3 linked regions of the Anolis sagrei genome follow. The protein of the gene in region 1 purifies or fractionates together with the protein of each later gene. This does not show direct contact. Links are inferred from orthologs where the notes say so. Each region holds a gene or a part of one and is shown in the gene's direction. Other genes may lie near its edges.

Region 1 (7,860 bases):
GCTCTGTATCTAACCTGTACGGTTCTGTTCTGTGCTTTTAAAATGTTTGAGACTATCAACTCACCCTCCGCATGTGAGGTTCACTCAGTGATACGGTTTTTGTCAGCAAAGAACCTGCCTGCTGCAGAAATTCATCGACAGATTTGTGAAGTGTATGGTGATACCGTTATGAGTGAAAACAAAGTGCGTAAGTGGGTACGACAATTCAAAGATGGCCGTGACGTCCATGATGAGGACTGCTCCGGTCGCCCTTCTTTGATTACAGTGAGCTCTTGGTTATCGGAGCAGGTGGCAAGTTTTTATGAAGAGGGTATTTTAAAATTGGTTCAGAGGTATGATAAGTGTTTGAACAAACTTATTTATTATTTATTATTTATTTATTTACTTTATTTCTATACCGCTTTTCTCAGCCCTCAGGCGACTCAAAGCGGTGAACAACATCAGTACAAAATATCACAAAACAAGTATAGGGCAATTAAAAACAATTATCACATAAATCATTAACATCAGTATAACAATCATTAGCGCCTCAACAGTAAAATCAGAATCCAGTCTTGTCATCCATTATTCCATATTCCTATGTTCAATAACACTGTTTAATCAAATGCTTGTTCGAACAGCCAGGTCTTCACTTTCCTCCGAAATGCCAGCAGGGAGGGGGCCAATCTGATATCTGCAGGCAGGGCGTGCCACAGCCGAGGGGCCACCACTGAGAAGGCCCTGTCTCTCGTCCCCGCCAAGCGCACCTGTGATGCAGGTGGGACCGAGAGCAGGGCCTCCCCAGATGATCTTAGTGTCCTAGTGTCCTAAACTTGGCAACTATGTCGAAAAATAGAGTGAAGTATGTACTTTCTGAAAATAAATTTACTTTTTTGAAATAAACTTTCGTTGTGTACTTACGTTCAAACGGACCTTACTTAAAAAATACCCCTCGTAAATCAGAAACCAACACTTTCTCTTTACTTTATTTTTCAGATCACCAGACTGGGCCACAGCAACGCGTGGCAGGGGACAGCTAGTTTATTTATATAACCTGTGTATAACTCTTTGCTAATCTGTTATCTAAAGATCCAAATATTCCAAAACCCAATATTGTCCACATATTATGATTAGGATTAAATGAGCCCTACACAATGGGGCTCCAGCAAAGGATCGCCGCCTTGTCGGGGCGCTGGAGCTTGAGCACCTCAATGATGTCATGAGCGAAACCGTGAAGGGCCACCCAAGACGGGACGGTTGTGGCAGAGAGGTCAGACCAAGCGTGATCCCTGGGGAAGGCAATGGCAAACCACTCCAGTATCCTTGCCAAGAAAACTAAATGGACCAGTACAACCAGAGATATGTCGGTATGCCATTGGAAGATGGGACTCCCAGGTCGGAAGATGGCCAAAATGCTACTGGGGAGGAGCAGAGGATAAGTTCAACTAGCCCCAGATGTGATGACGCAGCTAGCTCAAAGCCGAAAGGAAGGCTAGCGGCCGACGGTACTGGAGGCGAACGACGAATCCGATGCTCTAAAGATCAACACACCATAGGAACCTGGAATGTAAGATCTATGAGCCAGGGCAAATTGGATGTTGTTATTGGTGAGATGTCAAGACTAAAGATAGACATTCTGGGGGTCAGCGAACTGAAATGGACTGGAATGGGCCACTTCACATCAGATGACCACCAGATCTACTACTGCGGACAAGAGGAACATCGAAGAAATGGAGTAGCCTTCATAATTAATAAGAAATTCGCTAAAGCGGTGCTTGGATACAACCCAAAAAATGACAGAATGATGTCAATTCGAGTGCAAGGAAAGCCTTTCAACATCACAGTGATCCAAATATACGCCCCAACCACAGCTGCTGAAGAAGCAGAAGTAGATCAGTTCTATGAGGATCTGCAGGACCTACTGGATAATACACCAAAAAGAGACATTATTTTCATTACAGGAGACTGGAATGCCAAGGTGGGAAGTCAAATGACAACTGGGATCACAGGCAAGCATGGTCTGGGAGAACAAAATGAAGCGGGACGCAGGCTGATAGAATTCTGCCAGGAAAACTCGCTGTGTATAACGAATACTCTCTTCCAACAACCTAAAAGACGGCTTTATACATGGACCTCACCAGATGGTCAACACCGAAATCAGATTGACTACATCCTTTGCAGCCAAAGGTGGCGGACATCCATCCAGTCGGTGAAAACAAGACCTGGGGCTGACTGTAGCTCAGATCACGAACTTCTTATTGCCCAATTTAGAATAAAACTAAAGAGATCAGGTAAAATACACAGACCAGTTAGATATGATCTCACTAACATTCCTAGCGAATATACAGTGGAAGTGAAGAACAGATTTGAAGGACTAGATTTAGTAAACAGAGTCCCAGAAGAACTATGGACAGAAGTCCGCGACATTGTTCAGGAGGTGGCAACAAAGTACGTTCCAAAGAAAAAGAAACCGAAGAAGGCAAAATGGTTGTCTGCTGAAACACTGGAAGTAGCCCAAGAAAGGAGGAAAGCAAAAGGAAACAGTGAAAAGGGGAGATATGCCCAGTTAAATGCGCAATTCCAGAGGTTAGCCAGAAGAGATAAGGAACTATTTTTAAATAAGCAATGCATGGAAGTGGAAGAAGACAACAGAATAGGAAGGACAAGAGACCTCTTCCAGAAAATTAGAAACATTGGAGGTAAATTTCAGGCAAAAATTGGTATGATAAGAAACAAAGATGGCAGGGACCTAACAGAAGCTGAAGAGATCAAGAGAAGGTGGCGAGACTATACAGAAGATCTGTATAGGAAGGATAACAATATCGAGGATAGCTTTGACGGTGTGGTGAATGAATTAGAACCAGACATCCTGAGGAGTGAGGTTGAATGGGCCTTAAGAAGCATTGCTAACAACAAGGCAGCAGGAGATGATGGGATCCCAGCTGAACTGTTTAAAATCTTAAAAGATGATGCTGTCAAGGTGATGCATGCCATTTGCCAGCAAATATGGAAAACACAAGAATGGCCATCAGACTGGAAAAAATCAACTTATATCCCCATACCAAAAAAGGGAAATGCGAAAGACTGCTCCAACTTCCGTACAGTGGCCCTTATTTCTCATGCCAGTAAGGTAATGCTCAAGATCCTGCAAGGAAGACTCCAGCAATACATGGAGCGAGAGTTGCCAGATGTTCAAGCTGGGTTTAGAAAAGGCAGAGGAACGAGAGACCAGATTGCCAATATCCGCTGGATAATGGAGAAAGGCAGGGAGTTTCAGAAAAACATCTACTTCTGCTTCATTGACTATTCTAAAGCCTTTGACTGTGTGGATCATAATAAATTGTGGCAAGTTCTTGGTGGGATGGGCATACCAAGCCACCTTGTCTCTCTCCTGAGGAATCTGTACAAGGACCAAGTAGCAACAGTCAGAACTGACCACGGAACAACAGACTGGTTCAAGATTGGGAAAGGCGTCCGGCAAGGCTGCATACTCTCACCCAACCTTTTTAACTTGTATGCAGAACACATCATGCGATGTGCGGGGCTGGATGAATGCAAAGCTGGGGTGAAAATTGCTGGAAGAAACATTAACAACCTCAGATATGCAGATGACACCACTCTGATGGCCGAAAGCGAGGAGGAGCTGAGGAGCCTTCTAATCAAGGTGAAAGAAGAAAGCGCAAAAGCCGGGTTGCAGCTAAACGTCAAAAAAACCAAGATTATGGCAACAAGAATGATTGACAACTGGAAAATAGAGGGAGAAACCGTGGAGGCCGTGGCAGACTTTGTATTTCTAGGTGCAAAGATTACTGCAGATGCAGACTGTAGCCAGGAAATCAGAAGACGCTTACTTCTTGGGAGAAGAGCAATGTCCAGTCTCGATAAAATAGTGAAGAGTAGAGACATCAGACTTGCAACAAAGATCCGCCTAGTCCAAGCCATGGTATTCCCTGTAGTCACCTACGGATGTGAGAGCTGGACCTTAGGGAAGGCTGAGCGAAGGAAGATCGATGCTTTTGAGCTGTGGTGTTGGAGGAAAGTTCTGAGAGTGCCTTGGACTGCGAGAAGATCCAACCAGTCCATCCTCCAGGAAATAAAGCCCGACTGCTCACTGGAGGGAAAGATACTAGAGACAAAGCTGAAGTACTTTGGCCACATCATGAGGAGACAGGAAAGCCTAGAGAAGACAATTATGCTGGGGAAAGTGGAAGGCAAAAGGAAGAGGGGCCGACCAAGGGCAAGATGGATGGATGGCATCCTTGAAGTGACTGGACTGACCTTGAGGGAGCTGGGGGTGGTAACGGCCGACAGGGAGCTCTGGCGTGGGCTGGTCCATGAGGTCACGAAGAGTCGGAGACGACTGAACGAATGAACAACAACACACAATGGGGAGGGATTCAGGCCTGGCCAAGCCTCTCCCTCAGAAAGGGGAGTTAATAATGGCAAGTTAATGCAGCCTGCCCTCGCTGTTTGTTTGTCTATGTCGTGAATACGAAGCCAATGAAGCCGGAACACAAAGTCCAGGTGACCTTTCCCTCCCTCCCTTTGCCCCCTTTGGAGCCATTCTCATACAACAGAACTGAGGGACCATGACCGTTTTCCTTTCAAGGGCCAAAACCAAATTGCTTGGACATCCTCCAAACGTCTCTTCAACCTTTAGCGAGGTCAGGAATACAACTCCCGAAATGCTTTGGGGCAGCGGGCGTGTGGCTTCCTCCCTCCCTCGGAGTGTTTCCGCTGCCACCGCCGATCCTCTCTTCCCATTGGCGGAAGCGAGAACGCGCCTAAGCCAATGGGCTTTCGAGGACCGCGAAGCTGCCCTGACTCCTGGCGGCGGCTCGTGCCTCCCGCGAGTCGGGGGGCGCATGCGCAAGCGCTCGTGCGCGCTCGCACTCGCGCTCGCGCTGCTTTGGTGCCTGAGGTAAATAGTACCCGCTTCTCTGCAGAGGGGGCGGAAGAAAGCCATGGAGCGGGATGAAAGCGAGGTAAAGCAAGCCTGCTGCTGCTGTTGTGGGAAATTGGTGCGAGGTGGAGAAGCGAGAGGCAGCTTCCGTCCTCCTCAATGAATCCCTAGGGAAAGCATTGGCGGTGCTTTCCGTGTTGCGTGTTCCTTGGCCAAAGGGAATGTCACAAAAAGGCAGAGAGGTTTGTGCTACGAGTTGAGTGAGCATCCCTCGCCTGGAAATCCAAAAATACTCAACACGAGTGGATGAGCCGGGGACTCCTTTGCTTCCCTGTGATTGTGGATACACAAAGTATGTTTTCATGCAAAAATTATTACAAATATTGTGCATAAAATCGCCTTCAGTATGAAATCTCTTGCTTAGGCCTAGGTCCCATCTCAAAGGGCCGTTCAACACAGCCATATAACCCATAATATCAAGGCAGGAAATCCCACAATATCTGCTTTGAATGGAATTATATGGCAGTGTGGACTCGGATAACCCAGTTCAAAGCAAATATTGTGGAATTTCCTGTCTAGATATCCTGGGTTGCATGGATGTGTGGAAGGGCCCTAGATTGTCTCTTTACGTTTATGCAAATACAGCAGGTTCTCCATTAAGACCAGGTAAATTCAGTGGTTGTTTGAGACTATTAAAAACAGGCCTAATGAATACTATATTCCAGGCACTACTTCTTACTTACTTAGGCGATCCTTCATAGTCCGAGAATGATGGTCCTCCAAGTTCAGTGTTCTGGCAGTGGGTCCATAGGTGACTGTGGAGCCCTATTCTTGACTTGCATCTTCTCCCGCAGTGAGGGCATTGGTTTCCAGGTGGAAGGTGGTCCCGGTCGGGGTTGGCTTGACGCGCCTTCCTCTTGGCACGTTTCTCTTTCGCCCTCCATTCGTGCCTCTTCAAATTCTACAGCACTGCTGGTCACAGCTGACCTCCAGCTGAAGCGCTCAAGGGCCAGGGCTTCCCAGTTCTTGGTGTCTATGCCAGAGTTTTTAAGGTTGGCTTTGAGCCCATCTTTCAATCTCTTTTCCTGTCCTCCAACATTCTGTTTTCCTTGAGTTCGGAGTAGAGCAACTGCTTTGGGAGGCGGTGGTCAGGCATCCGGACAACGTGGCTGGTCCAGCGGAGTTGATAGCGGAGGAACATCGCTTCAAGTCTGGTGGAGGGCCGGAGGGCCAAAGCTTGCCCATGCCTGGGATCTTTGCAAAGCAAAGCAAAGATGTCAGGCATAGTCAAGCTTCGGCCCTATGGGAGTTGCTGGAAGTCCAAAAGACCTAGAGGGCCAAAGTTTGTCCATGCCTGTTATATCCCACACTGTGCCATACCAAAAACTCTGTATTGACTTGATATTAATTTTTTTCATGTCAGTAGCGACTTGAGAAATTGCAAGTTGCTTCTAGTGTGAGAGAATTGCCCGTCTGCAAGGATGTTGCCCAGGGGACACCCAGATGTTTTACCATCCTGTGGGAGGCTTCTCTCTTGTCCCCCACATGGGAAGCTGGAGCTAGCAGACAGGAGCTTGCCCCACTCCCCAGATTTGAACCGCCAACCTTTCAGTCGGCAGTCCTGCCTGCACAAGGGTTTAACCCATTGTGCCACCAGGGGCTCCAATATTATTGAAATACAGTAATTAAAAGTAAATAAATACAAGCTCAATGTAACACAGTTTTACTGTACAGTATTGTAAAAACAGATTTGTGAATTCACTATTATTGGATTTATTTCTTTATTTATTGCCGGTTGCTTGAGTTCCAGGTAATAGAGTCTACAGTATACCAAAATCCAAATCAGTAATCCAAAACACTTCTGATTTTAAGCATTTTTGATAATGGATACTCAACCTGTAATAGCTTTTTGGGGCCAAACTAAAAATCTCAAAATTCTGTGAAAACCAAGGCAAAAGTTTATTCATCGCATATATATAGTCTTTAAGGAGAATGACAATAACATTTATTTCTCCATTTGATAATATAAAGAGATCATTTGAGAACTTAACATTTGCCTTTATCTACTGTGAAGATCACAGTGTCTTTAATCTCCAGATACATATTTGGGGATAAGTTCTACTGCGTTTTATAAATTTTACAATTTTTTGAGATGGGTTTTTTATGTGTGTTCGTTGTTCTTAGACTTATATTGTTGTTTATATGCTTGTGTATTGTTGTTTTATATACGGCACTTCACAGTGCTTCTGTGAGCCAATCCAAGTCCCTTCGGGGAGATGGTGGCAGGGTACAAATAAACTTATTATTATTATTATTATTATTACTAAGTCAAAGCAAGTAAAAAAAATCAGTTTGGATAATTTGTCTTCAGTTAATGGGAACATTATCGCTGATAAAATAAAGTCCTAGTTTAAGATGAAATAAGTTCCTCTCTCTGCCTTTGCATGCATGCTTAATTTTTGTTTGACCTAGTGAAGATATTTGCATTTTTAAAAGCTTGTATAGATTGAGTATCCCTTATCTAAAATTCTTGGAAAACGGAATGTTTTGGATTTCATTTTTTTTTATTTTGGAATATCCATATTTCCATACACATACATAATATCTTGAAGATGGGACCCATGGCTTAAAAGGAATTTTATTTATATTTAATAAACATTTTATACAGTCAGTCCCCAAGTTACAAACATCCAACTTACAAGCGACTCATAGTTAAGAATGGGAATGAGACAACAGGAAGTGAGAAAAATCTACTCCTCGGAAGGGAAATTCATTCCTAAACGAGTTATCATGGGGAAAAGGTGTCTTCACTAAAGCTTTCTCACCTAACCTTGTTTCCACAACAAGCCAAATTTTTCAAAATCTTGATTATCACAGGGGCAGAAGTGAGGTGAAATCTTACGAACAGGGCACAGGCAGCAAAACTAACTCCACAGGGATGTTAGCCCTTTCTTATGCTATCCAAAGCGCAGTATATA
Region 2 (6,925 bases), on another chromosome or scaffold:
GAGGATGGCTAAATTCAAGATAGTGGTCCTTTCAAAACACCTCATGTTCTAGATCCAGTATTACTGTTAAGAGCACCTTTATCTTTCTTTCTATTCCTTTTTTTGGGTGGAAAGCTCTTCATTACAGGCCTTTGCTGCAAATATCTGCAAAAAAAAAAAAACCCAAAAAAGAGCAACCAATGTGATGTTACAGAACTAAGAGATGGCACCTTCCTTTGTAAATGAATGGTCAAGATGTTCCTTTTCAAGCCTTATACCTCTTCCTTTTTCACTGAAACAAATATTAAAACATGAGGTTCATAACTGCACACATGCTCTTGGCTTTTGTGGTAGTTTATTCAGTTGTAAAGCAGTTATGAAACATTATCACTGCCTGATCTTGATAAAGTTTGTGGAAGAGGTTAAACAAAGGCAAGATATGGGCTGTTCCCATTATTCCTTGGAATGAGATGAATAGAGAGCAATCACCTCAGGCACACATTTCTCCACATAAAAACACTTATAACACAACAAAGAATAATAATTCTTGGTACCTCGATTTTTAGGCCTGTTCCTAAAAACTGGGGCACTGTTTCAGAAAATTGCATTGGATAGCCACATCAGCTCTAATTTCTTCAATATGGTTATCATGGCAACTGGTAGATGGCATATATTGCAGCTCAAAAACCTGAAATACAGACAGTATAGGGGAAACTGGTGCCATTTCTGGAATCAGAAGGTTAAATATACCCAGAAATAGGACTAACATTTGAGGTGCCAAAATGTGTGCTGCCCAGTATTGTTTATAACTGTAGCTCTGCAGGTTATTATAGTAATGGATGTTGAATTTGAATGCTTTGATATCATCATCATAGACCACGACATGCAAGTGTGGAAAAGAACAAACCACTGACCACCTACTAAAATGCAGTCTGAGCCCTGCCACATGCACAATGGAGGACCTTCTTACAGTAACATCAAAGGCATTACAAGTGGCCAGCTTCTGGTCAAAGGAAATTTAGCATAATTCCAAGTTTTTAACTTTGTAGTCTTTGATACATTATAACTGTATTCTCAATTTGCTTCTAACACAAAAATAAATAAAATCATAGACTATCATTTGTGGTTGAGTATGATTGCCTTCCAAGTGTAGGGTCTCGATGGTGGATCTGTAGGTGACTGTATAGACCTATTCCTGATTTGCATGTTCAATTGCAGCGAGAACATAGATTTCCAGATGGAAAGTGGTCCTGACAACAATTGGCTTGATGTGCCTTCCTTTATCCCTTTCGCCCTTTTATCCTGTACATGTGGCCCGCCCACTGTTATCGTGATTGTGTTTATTGGAATGTTATTTTGTTACTGTATTCATTTTTTTCTTTTTATGTAATTTTGATGATGTTGCTTGTTGTTTATGTTTTGGTTTTATTTTGCTGTAATATGTTGTCTGGGCTTGGCCCCATGTAAGCCGCTCTGAGTCCCCATTGGGGAGATGGTGGCGGGGTATAAATAAAGTTTATCATTATTATTTTATTATTAAACCATGTTTAATCTCTTTAATAATACATACGAGGACCTTTAGATTTTTTTATTAGAACTTTAGAATTCGGAGATTGAATATGCCACTTTACCTACAGCAGTGCTTCTTAACCTGTGGGTTGCAGCCCACCAGTGGGCCATGAGGATGAAAATCTAGTCCGCGAGCCTCCTTCCTCTTTATTTTATTTCCGCTCTTTCGCGCTGTCTGCCACTCCCTGCTTCTGACCATGGCATATGTTCTGTATCAGAACTAGAGCTGATGTGGTCTAGCCAATACAATTTTCTGAATCAGCACACCAAACCAAATCTAAGTTGATCAAAAACTGATTTGTAACCCTTTTGGTACTAATGTTGGAGAGTGGCTCCTGGTCATAGTCAATAGTCAAGTGGTCCCTGGTCAAAAAAAGGTTGGGAACCACTCATCTATAGCAATTGCTGTATTTTATTGTTTTTACTAGGGGATACTGTATATTTATGATGTGTTGACTGTTTATTGTCTTATGTTTCGTTTTGCACTTGTATTTTGCATGCCACACCTTGAGTGTTCTGTGAGCCATCCCGAGTCCCTCTGGGAGATGATGGCAGGGTAGAAATAAACTATTATTATGGCCTTGCAGCTTCAAAGCATAGCTGATTGCTGTCTGGGGAGGTCCTTTGTTTAGCTGGGAGAAGAGAAGGTGGATAGGGAACATGAAAACCATGTTTCAAGATTTAAAAGGTTGCCCCATTGAGGTGGGGAGTGGGGAACTGACTTTCTGCTGCTCTGGAGACCAGGGCATAGGGGAGCAATGGTTTCAAAAGGCAGGGGAAAAGATTTGACTGAAAACATTAGGAAGAAATTCCTGATTGGTGGAGACGAGAGACAGGGCCTTCTCAACTGTGGCTCCCTGTCACAGACAGGGAGCAAGTGTTGAGAAGGCCCTGTCTGTGGAATTCCCTCCCCAAAGACATCAGACTGGCCACCTCCCTCCTGTCCTTTAGAAGAAAACTCAAGACTTGGCTGTGGGACCTTGCATTTGACCATTGAACAGCGGGTTGTATGAAGACATCAGCAATTTTGAAGTGACAATGAATTGACCTGGGTTTTAATTGGCGTGTTTTATTTAATATTTAATGTTTTGTTTTAATGAATGTGTTGATTATTCTTATCATCATGATGGCACCGAATGGTGTTTGCTGTGAGGCCGCCCTGAGTCCCCCCTCGGGGGTGAGAAGGGCGGGGTACAAGTATATGAAATAAATAAATAAATAAGAGTGGCATAGGCTGCCTGGCAGTACGATGGGGTGGTGCCCCTGGTGGCAGAGTGGGTTAAACCCGTGTGCCGGCAGGACTGAAGACCGACAGGTTGTAGGTTCGAATTCGAGGAGAAGTGGATGAGCGGGGACATGAGAGAAGCCTCCCATAAGGATGATAAAAACATAAAATCATCCAGGCGTCCCCTGGGCAATGTCCTTGCAGACGGCCAATTCTCTCACACCAGAAGCGACTTGCAGTTTCTCCAGTCGCTCCTGACACGACCAAAAAAAAAAAAGTATGATGGGAGTTTCCTTCTCTGGAGGCTCTTCAGCAGCGATCCTTTGTTTGGAGTGTTAGCTGTCCTGACTGATTCTTGTCTGGAATTCCCTTTACAGATACATAAACCTCACTGGCCTAGTTTCCAACAGACTTGGAGGATGCCTGGCATAGTTGTGGGCGAAACGTCGAGAGAGAATGCTTCTGGAACATGGCCACACAGCCATGAAAGCCTTCGACAACACATTGTCCTATTTGCCTCTCTCTCAGCCCTTCTCATCGGGGCGCGCGAACGCGCGTGAAGGAGCCACGCTGAGGAGAAAGGCCGAAAAGCGAGGGAATGGAGACTGCCTTCGCGCTTGACAAAACGCCCAAGCGCCAGTCTTGCCTGAAGAGAAGGCTGGAGGCACCGCGAAGAAACGCAACGGCTCCCCCGCAATGGCTCCGCGAGAGCGAGGCAGGCAGGCGGCACAAGGCGAGGCCTCCGGGAGAAGCGGGCACGCGCCTCTCCGCCTCGCTCCCTTTCCATTCAGGCCACAAGAGGGGAGGGGGCGGCGTTAGGAGCGGCCCTCTACCGCGCGAGCAGCGGAAATAACTGCCACTCCCCGCCCCCTCCCCCTCCCAAACATTCCAGAACCTTCCGCGACGTAGCCTACAGCTTTAGGAGGAAAAGCGAACAGAACATGCGCGGAAAGGAAAGCGAGATTGAGAGAGAGGAGAGAGAGAGGGGGGGGGAGAAAAGCGCATGCGCAGAGTAGGTGGGTGCAGGGGGATGTGGCCGAGCAGCAGAGAAAGGAAGGAGGCGCCGGGGCACGTGACAGCCCGCAGGCGAGGAGGCGGCGGCGGCGGCGGCGCGCGGGGCCGGCTCTGCGCAGGCGGCATGGGAGGCGCGCGCCGGCGACGTCACATGGGTGGGTGCGTGCGCACGCTGTCCTCTCCACGATTTGATTCTAGAGCACAACAAGACAGGGAAGGGAGAGAGGAGGGGAGGGGGGGGGGAGCGCGCCCATGGCTTCGCTCGGTGACTGATTGACGGACTGACTGGGACGGAGACAGGCCCCGGATGGCGGGAAGCGCCGAGGAAGACTCCGAACAAGGTCTGTCTGGCGTGGGGCCGCGAATCCGGGAGTGGAGGATGGAGGAGGAAAAGGTTCTCTCGCGCGCAATTTTCCCGCGTGGCTCGCACACATCTCCTGCCTATGGAGGAGGCTGGCAAAAATGGACACCCGCGGGCGAGGGCCTTGTCGGAGGCCCTTGGGGGGGGGGGGGAGGCGTGATCGCGTCGTTTCCTCGCGTGCCATGGAGGCGCATCTCGCCACGCGGGGCGCTCCCCATTCGAAGCTTGTTGGCCTCCGAGGGGCCAGGGGAGCGGGGCTTGTTATGGGGCGCCGGGCGCTTTTGCTCAGGCCTTCCCTCGGCCTGTTGGTGGCTGAAGTCCGCCGGCTAATCACCCCACGCAGCTCTGCTTCTGGCGGGGGAAGGGAGGGAGGCCAGCAAGTGTTGTTCCTTGGGACGGAAGGCTTCCTTCCCACTAGAACAGTGGAAAGAAATACATAATCAAAAGAAAACGAGGGTGGAGGCGCTTTAAGGCAGTGGTTCTCAGCCTTCTAAATGTCGCAACCCCATAATTCAGGTCCTCACGTTGTGGTGACCCCCAACCATAACATTATTTTCATTGCTACTTCATAACTATGATTTTGCTACTGTTATGAATCGTGATGTAAATATCTGATATTCAGGATGCATTTTCATTCACTGGACCAATTTTGGCACAAATACCCTATATGCCCAAATTTGGTGGGTTTGGGGAGATTAATTTTGTCATCTGGGAGTGGTAGTTGCTGGGGTTTATAGTTAACCTGCAATCAAAGAGCATTCTGAACCACACCAATGAAAGAATTGAACCAATCTTGGCACACAGAACTCCCATGACCAACAGAAAATACTGGAAGGGTTTGATAGGCATTGACCTTAAGTTCTGGAATTGTAATTCACCTACATCCAGAGAGCACTGTGGACTTAAGCAATGATAGATCTGGACCAATACTCAATATGCTCAAATGCGAACACTGGTTTAGTTTGGGGAAAATAGACCTTGACATTTGGGAGTTGTAGTTGTTGGGATTTATAGTTCACCTACAATCAAAGAGTGTTCTGAACCCTACCAGCGATAGAATTGGGCCAAACTTCCCACACAGAATCCTCATGACCAACAAAATACTGTGTTTTCTGATGGTCTCTGACACCCCCTCGAACCCCCCCCCCCCCCGGGGTCCTGACACCCAAGTTGAGAAATGCTGTATTAGGACTTCCAGGGCTGTGACCACATCGCTTTTCCAAGTGTTTTGTGCTTCAGGTCCCAGAATCCCATATTGTTGGCCAAGACAGTTGAGGCTTCAGGGACTTGGAATTCCAAAACACTTGGAGATCTAGAGCAGGCATGGGCAAACTTCAGCCCTCGGAGTGTTTGGACACCAAGTCCCTCCCACAATTCCTAACAGCCGATAGTGATGTTGAAGTCCAAAACACCCAGAGGGCCAAAGTTTGCCTGTGCTGGCCTTATAGGATTCTGTAGCATTCAGTCAAGGCAATTAAATGGGTGTCAAAACTGCATTAATTCTGCAGCGTGGAACCACTCCTGGTCAGAAGGTCACAAGCACTGATTGGCTGAATATTGGTGGATTGTTTCAGAATCTCCATCTTCAAGCATGTTGCGGGACCACTTGTTTGTAACCTTGTCTTAAGTGTGAAAAGTTAAGTCTTAGGATTCATCAGATGTGCTTTCTTTCTATTAAGTACTTTAAACAAATGTTAACAATATTTGTTGATCAGCACTAACATCAAGCAAAATCCTAATATTTCAATATAATATATTCTTACTAGTATTCAAATCCAGGGAGCGGGGTGAGCTCCTGCTGTTAGGCCCAGCTTCCGCCAACTTAGCAGTTCGAAAACATGCAAATGTGAGTAGATTGATAGGGACCACCCCAAACGGGAAGGTAACGGTGCTCCATGCAGTCATGCCGTTCACATAATCTTAGAGGGGTCTATGGACAACGCCAGCTCTTCGACTTAGAAATTGAGATGAGCACCACCACCAGAGTCGGACAGATGTCAAGGGGAAACTTTTACCTTTTTTATTCATTGATCTATCTCAGTGGTTCCCAACCTTTGGTCTTTCCTGTGTTTTGGACTTCAACTCCCAGAAATCCCAAACAGTTTGGGCTTCCAGAAATCTCAGCCTATTAGGAATTGTGGGATCTAAAGTCCAAAACATCCAAAGGGCCAAAGGTTGGAAACCACTGATGATCTGTATGTTGAGTGAGAGGCAGTGTCCTGTAACGGTTTGAACATTGGGCTATGGCTCTGGAAACCAGGATCCAAATCCTCACTCAGCTATGGAAACCCACTGGATGTCCTTGGGGAAATTTCATTATCTAAGGACTTGAAATTATTTGAAGACACACAACAAGAAGTGTATGTGCAGGTTTTTCAAAATGGTACTGCAACAAGTTAGATTGTGATACAATAAAAGCATAAAACAGCTAAAATCAGCGTCAGAATTATACATGTTGAGTGCTCACTTACTTAGGCAATCCCTCGTTGGCCGAGTAGAATAGTCTTCCGGGGCAGTATTCTTGTTGGTTCCTTAGGTGGCTGTGGCGTCCTCTTCTTGATCTGCATCTTCTCCTGCAGTGAAGGCATTGATTTCCAGGTGGAAGGCAGTCTCGGTTGGGGTTGGCTTGACGCGCCTTCCTCTTGGCACGTTTCTCTCTTTCACCCTCCATTCGTGCCTCTTCAAATTCTGCAGCACTGCTGGTCAAAGCTGACCTCCAGCTGAAGCGCTCAAGGGCCAGGGCTTCCCAGTTCTCAAAGTCTATGCCAGAGTTTTTA
Region 3 (7,820 bases), on another chromosome or scaffold:
GAAGGAATATGCAAACCATGCATAGAAGAGTACAATTCTTAGCTACCACTTCAAAAGAAAAAATTGAATAGTTTAAAAGCAATACCTTAGCTAACTTTACTCTGGACAGTGACACAATGAAGACATCTGTCCTTGCACTTTGCTACTCTGCTGCTGAATACGCATGCCCAGTGTGGAATACATCGCACCACGTTAAAACAGTGGATGTGGCTCTTAATGAGACATGCCGCATTATCACAGGATGTCTACATCCTACACCACTGGAGAAATTATACTGTTTAGCCGGTATTTCATCACCTGACAACCATTGATAAGTACCAGACTGTAATGAAAGAAATAAGACATTGCCATCTCCAGCCCATCCTCTGTTCGGATATCAACCATGCCAACACCTTAACTCGTGAAATAGCTTTCTAAGCTCTACAGAGATAGTAGGAAGAACATCTCGGCAAGCAAGAGTCCAAAAGTGGCAGGCTAAAACCCAGAACCTCAATAAGTGGCTAAGATTGGATAAGAGACTCCCTCCTGGGCACACTGAAGACTGGACAACTTTATTTATTATTTATTTATTTACTTTACTTATATACCGCTGTTCTCAGCCCAGGGGCAACTTTGAAGGCACTGAACAGGCTGTGCTCTGGCACCACGAGATGCAGAGCCAACCTTAAGAAATGGGGCTATAAAGTGGAGTCCACAACATGCAAGTGGAGAGAAGAGCAAACCACAGACCACTTACTACAATGCAGTCTGAGCCCTGCCACATGCACAATGGAGGATCAATAGAAACTTTCTAAAGCATGGTTTCATGGCCATCAGGAACTTCTTCATTGTCAACTGAAATTCATAATTGTGCTATGCTTTGAATGTCTGTCATTTTTCAGTTCCAAAGATGGGACAGATACATTTGTAAATTAATTTATCATGCTTTCCACATCTTGCATGGCCAAATGATAAAGCAATCCTCCTTGTTTAGCAGCTCAAGCATAAATCTTTTTTTTTACATTATTGATGGTGAGCAACCAGCCCTGAAGTCTTTTGTGTATGTTTCAGTTCACAGATGATTGCCAGAAATATTGCCATAAATCACAAGATAAATTGTGTGTCATTCATGCGTTTACATGTCATGTTAGCCATCATTCAACAAAATCTCTGCCGTGCAATATGTCTGACAGGAAATTAACAACGAGGAGATGGAGCGTTGCTTTAACACATCATGGCTCACATTAAATCAATGTGTCCGTGATGAACAATAATGATAAATAATAATACTAGCTATTTTGTATTAGTAATTTAATTTTAGCAATTTGACATCAGAAATGGAGTGAAAATACAAGCAAAACTACTTCAGAGGCCCCATCTACATTGGCATATAATGCAATTTGGAACTGCATTATATGGACAGTGTAGACCAGGCATGGGCAAACTTTGGCCCTCCGGGTGTTTTGGACTTCAACTCGCACCATTCCTAACAGCCTCAGGCCCTTTCATTCCCTTCTCAGCCACTTAAGCCCAGTTGGGAGGTGTTAGCTGGCCCTGATTATTTCATGTCAGGAATTTTCCTGTTGTTCCCCTGTTGACACAGCATATTATTTGAGAACACAGAAATGCTGGACCACTCTAGCAACCACCATGTCAGACTAGAAAGAGAAACCATTGAAATCCACAAGCATTTCAATAGAATGGAGGAAGCCATGAACATGAACAAAATCTGGCTACCAGTATTTAAAAAAACTTGAAAATCAGAACAGTCAATAAAGAGCAACACTCAGAGGAATTCCTGACATGAAATAATCAAAGCCAGCTAACATCTCCCAACAAAGGATTTCCCAGGCAGGAATCAGTCAGTCTTTGAAGCTGCAAGGCCACCCAATGCTAATCAAGGTGGCCAGTTGCAACATTCACACTTGCCTCAAGCAGACAAGCGTTCTTTCTCCCACCCTAAACCTCACTTGCCTAGTTTCCAACAGACCTCACAACTTCTGAGGACGCCTGCCATAGATGTGGGTGAAATGTCAGAAGAGAATGCTTCTGGAACATGGCTATACAGCCTGGAAAACTCACAGCAACCCTATATTGAATTGGTTGAGATTTGATGCGATAAGCATTGAAAAACTAGAGCAAATGTGATGCAGGAAGTCCTACAGGGACAAAAATTTCAGTTTAATAAACTTTTTCCATGTTTTATGAATGAACCAATTAGGAAACGACATTTATAACATAGGAACAAAAATTTTGTTACCTAGTGTTATGACAATCTTAGGAAATAACATTGCTGCCCTCTGGTGGACAATAAGGAAGAAACAACTTGAACTAACTGAAAGCCACTGATGATCATCTACGTTAGACTTATAATTTTTTTTCTTGTCAGGAGCAACTTGAGAAACTGCAAGTTGCTTCTGGTGTGAGATAATTGGCTGTCTGCAAAGACGTTGTGCAGTTTTTGATGTTTTTGATGTTCTACCATCCTTGTGGGAGACTTCTCTCATGTCCCCACATGGGGAGCTGGAGCTGAAAGAGGGAGCTCATCCATGCTATCCCCAGATTCGAATCTGTGACCTGTTGGTCTTCAATCCTGCTGGCACAAGGGTTTAACCCACTGCACCACTGGGGGCTCCTTACACACTATAGTTATAGTGCTATTATTCCACTTTAACTGACATGAGACAATTCCATAAAATTCAGTCTTTGCATTTAGTGGGGCCCAAGAACACTCCAGTATTCTATAGGCAAGGACCGAACAGAAGCTGAAGAGATCAAGAGAAGGTGGCAGATCTGTATAAAAAGGATAATAGTATTGAGGATAACTTTGACGGTGTGGTGAGTGAAATAGAACCAAACATCCTGAGAGGTGAGGTTGAATGGGTCTTAAGAAGCATTGCTAATAACAAGGCAGCAGGAGATGACGAGATCCCAGCTGAACTGTTTAAAATCTTGAAAGAGGATGCTGTCAAGGTGATGCACGTATGCCATATGCCAGCAAATATGGAAAGCACAAGAATTGACATCAGATTGGAAAAAATCAATTTATATCCCCATACCAAAAAAGGCAAACACTAAAGATGCCCAAGCTTGTTGTGAGGTCTGTTAGAAACTAGGAATATTGGGTTTATATATCAATGGAATAGTAAAAGCATAGTAAAAGCAATGGTATTCCCTGTATGGATGTGAGAGCTGGACCATAGGAAAGGCTGAGCAAAGGAAGAGAGATGCTTTTGGACTGTGGTGCTGGAGGAAAGTTTGAGAGTGCCTTGGACTGCCAGAAGATGCAACCAATCCATACTTCAGGAAATAAAGCCCGACCGCTCACTGGAGGGAAGGATAGTAGAGGCCAAGATGCAGTATTTTGGACACATCATGAGAAGAAAGGAAAGCTTGGAGAAGAGAATGTTGCTGGGAAAAATGGAAGGGAAAAGGAAGAGGGGCCGACCAAGGGCAAGATGGATGGATGGCATCCTTGAAGTGACTGGATTGACATTGAAGGAGCTGAGAGCTCTGCTGTGAGCTGGTCCATTCATTCAGTAGGAAGCAACTGAACAAATTAACAACTTATCAGTAGAAAATCCAGGGTGGGAGAAAGAACTCTTGTCTGTTGGAGCTAGCTATGAATGTTTCAAAGGACCATTAGCATTTGATGGCCTGAAAGTTTTTAAGTGTGACTTGTTACTGCCTGGGGGAATCCTTTGTTGAGAGGTGATTAGCTGTCTCTGATTGTTTCCTGACTAGAGTTTCCCTGTGTTTGAGATTTGTTCTTTATTTACTTTTATAATTGAATTAGTCTTCCCCTGCCAGGCGTTGCTGTGGCCCAGTCTGGTGATCTGGAAAATGAAGTAATGAGAAAGTGTTGGATTGTAATATATATAATTTATTGCTGCTTGTGGGTAAACAGTATTTCTTGCTGTTTCTTTGTCAGTGTTGATGTAGAGATTGTCAGGTTTGCCTACACAGAAACAGGCAACATATCATTGTCCTTTTTTTTCAAATCTAGGATACTATATCTCTGTGTGTGTCAATCATATGTATCTATATCTATGGTTGGGTGGCTCTTTGTCAGGAGGGTTTTGATTACATTTTCTTGCCATGGTGAAGGGAGTTGGACTGGATGGCCTTATGTATTTTTTGTTGGTCATGGGGGTTCTGTGTGGGAAGTTTGGTTCAATTCTATCATTGGTGGGGTTCAGAATGCTTTAATTTAGGTGAACTATAAATCCCAACAACTACAACTCCCAAATGACAAAATCATATTTTTTTAGTGATGGTCACTCTTTGGCCTGATACGTGTTGTGTCCAAATTTGGTGTCAATTCGTCCAGTGGGTTTTGAATTATGTTAATCCCACAAACGGACATTACATTTATATTTATATAGATGTGAATGTTGCAAATGGCCACCTTGATTAGCACTGCAGCTGCAAAGACTGGCTGATTCCTGCCTGGGGAATCCTTTGTTGGGAGGTGTTAGCTGGCCTTGATTGTTTCATGTCAGGAATTCCCCTGAGTGTTGCTCTTTATTGACTGTCCTGATTTTAGAGTTTTTTTAAATACTGGTAGCCAGATTTTGTTCATTTTCATGGTTTTCTCCTTTGTGTTGAAATTGATCCCATGCTTGTGGATTTCAATAGCATCTCTGTGTATCCTGACATGCTGGTTGAGGCTGGTCCAGCACTTCTGTGTTCTCAAATAATATGCTGTGCCCAGGTTGGCTGATTAGGTGCTCTGCTATGGCTGACTTCTCTGGTTGGCTTAGTCTGTTCCTTGATTCAGGTTGGGGCAACGCTGCGTTTGGTAGTCCCTATGGAGGATTCTCAGTCTCTGTCCAACATGGAGAGCTGGCGGGGATGGGGAAGCCACTGGAGGCGGGCCCTGCTGGCTGCCTCTGCCTCGTCACCCGCGGCTCCTCCTCCCATCAGAGGAGGAAAAGGAAGAGGAGGAGGAAGAGGCTGGGCCAGGATGGCGGCCCCGGTCTCGCCCGAGAGCTTGGAGGAGTCGCTGGACTGGCAGGAAGTGAGTCTTCCCTCTTGGCTGGGTTGCTTAGAAGCGCCTCTCCTTTGGCAGGGTCTGGGAATTTTTCCTGGGTGGGAGAAAAGCCACAAAGAGGAAAGGAGGAGGGGAAATCTCTTTCTCTGGACCTAGCCTGAAAACAACCAGGACGAGGCCGGGCTCTTTCCTTTTGGGTGCTCACTCCACCCTGGCATTGTGCGTAGACACCTCCAAGGTCATGTGGCCAGCATGACTGCACTTGGAGGCACTCTTCCCTTTTCTGGCTTGGAGGGGAAAGGGGGAAAGAGCACACCCATCTGCAACTCCCAGGGCCTTGAGCCATAAAGCAGGGCCAGACTGCCTCAATTCCACAGTGTAGATGGGCCTAAGGGGCTTTCCACACAGCTGTAGACAATCCCACATTATCTGCTTTGAACTGGGATATATGGCAGCGTGGACTCAGGCCCCTTCCACACAGCTGTATACAACCCCACAGTATTTGCTTTGAACTGGGTTAGGAAAAGGTAAAGCTTTTTCCCTGACATGACATCCAGTCGTGTCCATCTCTCAAGTGTGGTGCTCATCTCCATTTCTGAGCCAAAGAGCCAGCATTGTCCATAGACACCTCCAAGGTCATGTGGCCATAGGCATGACTGCATGGAGCACCATTACCTTCCCACCGGAGCGATATTTATTGATCTACTCACATTTGCATGTTTTTGATCTGCTAGTTTGGCAGAAGCTGGGGCTGACAGCGGAAGCTCACGCTGTTCCTGGGATTCAAATCTGTGACCTTTCAGTCAACAAGCTCATCAGCTCAGCGCTTTAGCCCACTGTGCCACCAGGGGCTCCTTGAACTGGATTATATGGACTCAAATAACTCAATTCAAAGCAGATATTGTGGGTTATCTGCCTTGATATTCAGGGATATAGGGCTGTGTGGAAGGGCCCTCAGATAACCCAGTTCAAAGCAGGTATTGTGGGATCTTCTGCTTTGATATGGCTGTGTGGAAGGGCCGTAAACAAACACAATATAGTCTATGCAGTATAGCATATAGTGACACCAAAACCCCCAATTCACTGTCACTATATCCTATACAGTGTTCCCTCACTACTTCACGGTTCGGTTTCAGCAGGCTCGCTGTTTTGCAGTTTTCAAAAAATATTAATTTAAAATATATATCGCAGGGTGTTTGTTTGTTTGTTTGTTTTTTTGCTGTTTTGTGGGTTTTTGTTGCTGCTGCTCTCCAAGGCGCTTTCCCTCCTCAGTCCTCCCTCCAGCCTTGAAGGGCCTTTCCTTCCTTTCCTTCACTTTTTTTAAGTGTATAAAGACTTAAAATAGCATATAACTCCTAAAATAATGTATAAATATTAAGATAAATAGCAAGTCCCTACATCACAGTTTTTCACTTATTGCGGGAGGTCCTGGAACGTAACACCCACAGTAAGTGAAGGAACACTGTATGGTCATTACAGTTCTCCTATTGCATTGACTATATTGTGTTTGTTTACCTACCTTACAAGTATTCTGGGATATTGCTGAATGGAAGGGCCCCCAGAATATCAAGGCAGGTAATCCACAATATCTGCTTTGAACTGGGTTGTCTCAGTCCTCGCTACCATATAGAGTTGGAAGAGGCCTTGTGGGCCATCCAGCCCAACCCCCCGCCAAGAAGCAGGAAAATTGCATTCAAAGCAGCCCAGACAGATGGCCATCCAGCCTCTGCTGGAATATATGGCAGTGTGGCCTCAGATAACCCACTTCAAAGCAGATATTGTGGGATGTTCTTTCTTGATATTCTGAGATATATGGCTGTGTGGAAGGGCCCTTAGTTTCTTCATTATTTGTGTTCTGCTTTTCTGTCATGTATGTTTAGAAAGCTAGAACACGAAAGGTCTATAGCTATGTATTTATATACAAGAAGCTAGATCTCCTCGCTTTTTACTACCTTTGTGGAGGACCTTTTTGTCCACTTTTCCTGCCAGCGTTCCTATCTCTTTTGTTGGAGGAATTATTTCAAGAGCAAACATTGTTACAGATTATCCATAAAGCCTTTGTACCAATATCCCCTGTATCAGCGTTGAGTCTCATTCAAAAGTGGAGATATAAATAACACTATGTAGCAAAACTTGAAAAATATATTTTCCAGGTTGGAAAGTGTTATTCCCAGTTTAATTGTGCAGAACTTAGTTTGAAAATAGTTGTTCTACTCCAGAAACTTTGTTTTTTGTGGCTGCCATAAATTATGTTGAATTGGGTGAGACTTGAGATATCCATTGAAAAACTATAGCAGGATGTCCCGCAAAGATGTTTTTGTTTTTGTAGTTTAACAAACTTTTTCAATGTTTTTAATGATACAACCCACTTTGAAAGTGACATTTATAACCCAGGAACAAAAATTATGTTACATAGTGTAATAGCATGATTATGTCACATTTGTTACAGGATGAGCATTTTGGACACATGGGCCCCTTCCACACATCTGAATAAAATCCCACATTATCTACTTTGAACTAGAATATATGGCAGTGTGGACTCAGATAACCCAGTTCAAAGCAGTGATTTTCTGCCTTGATATTCTGGTTTATATGACTGCCTAGAAGGGTCCACAGATGCTTTCACACTTATTTGCTTATTTATTTATTTACAGTATTTATATTCTACCCTTCTCACCCCATAGGGGACTCAGGGTGGATTACAATTCACATATACATGGCAAACATTCAATGCTATTAGACATTCAACATATATAGATAGACACAGAGGCAATTTAACATTCCAGCTTTCCAGCTTCATGAGGGTATGCTCGATTTTGGCCACAGCGGGAGCTTCCACTTTACCATC

Evidence for each region. The genes of interacting proteins can lie anywhere in the genome.
Region 2: the proteins of L3MBTL2 (region 1) and MGA purify together in Homo sapiens (affinity purification with mass spectrometry; 3 studies listed by BioGRID and IntAct, counting the BioPlex papers as one, with this or other methods). This does not show direct contact. The link is inferred for Anolis sagrei from reciprocal best matches to the Homo sapiens genes L3MBTL2 and MGA.
Region 3: the proteins of L3MBTL2 (region 1) and E2F6 purify together in Homo sapiens (affinity purification with mass spectrometry; 5 studies listed by BioGRID and IntAct, counting the BioPlex papers as one, with this or other methods). This does not show direct contact. The link is inferred for Anolis sagrei from reciprocal best matches to the Homo sapiens genes L3MBTL2 and E2F6.

What each region holds. Positions count from the first base shown.
Region 1 is NC_090025.1:161,726,509-161,734,368, reverse strand, and holds the start of L3MBTL2 (lethal(3)malignant brain tumor-like protein 2), read left to right. Parts: upstream 1-4,848; 5' UTR 4,849-4,943; coding exon 4,944-4,964; intron 4,965-7,860. UniProt on the Homo sapiens protein: Putative Polycomb group (PcG) protein. PcG proteins maintain the transcriptionally repressive state of genes, probably via a modification of chromatin, rendering it heritably changed in its expressibility.
Region 2 is NC_090021.1:288,160,483-288,167,407, reverse strand, and holds the start of MGA (MAX gene-associated protein), read left to right. Parts: upstream 1-3,906; 5' UTR 3,907-4,128; intron 4,129-6,925. UniProt on the Homo sapiens protein: Functions as a dual-specificity transcription factor, regulating the expression of both MAX-network and T-box family target genes. Functions as a repressor or an activator.
Region 3 is NC_090021.1:130,947,663-130,955,482, reverse strand, and holds the start of E2F6 (transcription factor E2F6), read left to right. Parts: upstream 1-4,801; 5' UTR 4,802-4,816; coding exon 4,817-4,999; intron 5,000-7,820. UniProt on the Homo sapiens protein: Inhibitor of E2F-dependent transcription. Binds DNA cooperatively with DP proteins through the E2 recognition site, 5'-TTTC[CG]CGC-3'. Has a preference for the 5'-TTTCCCGC-3' E2F recognition site.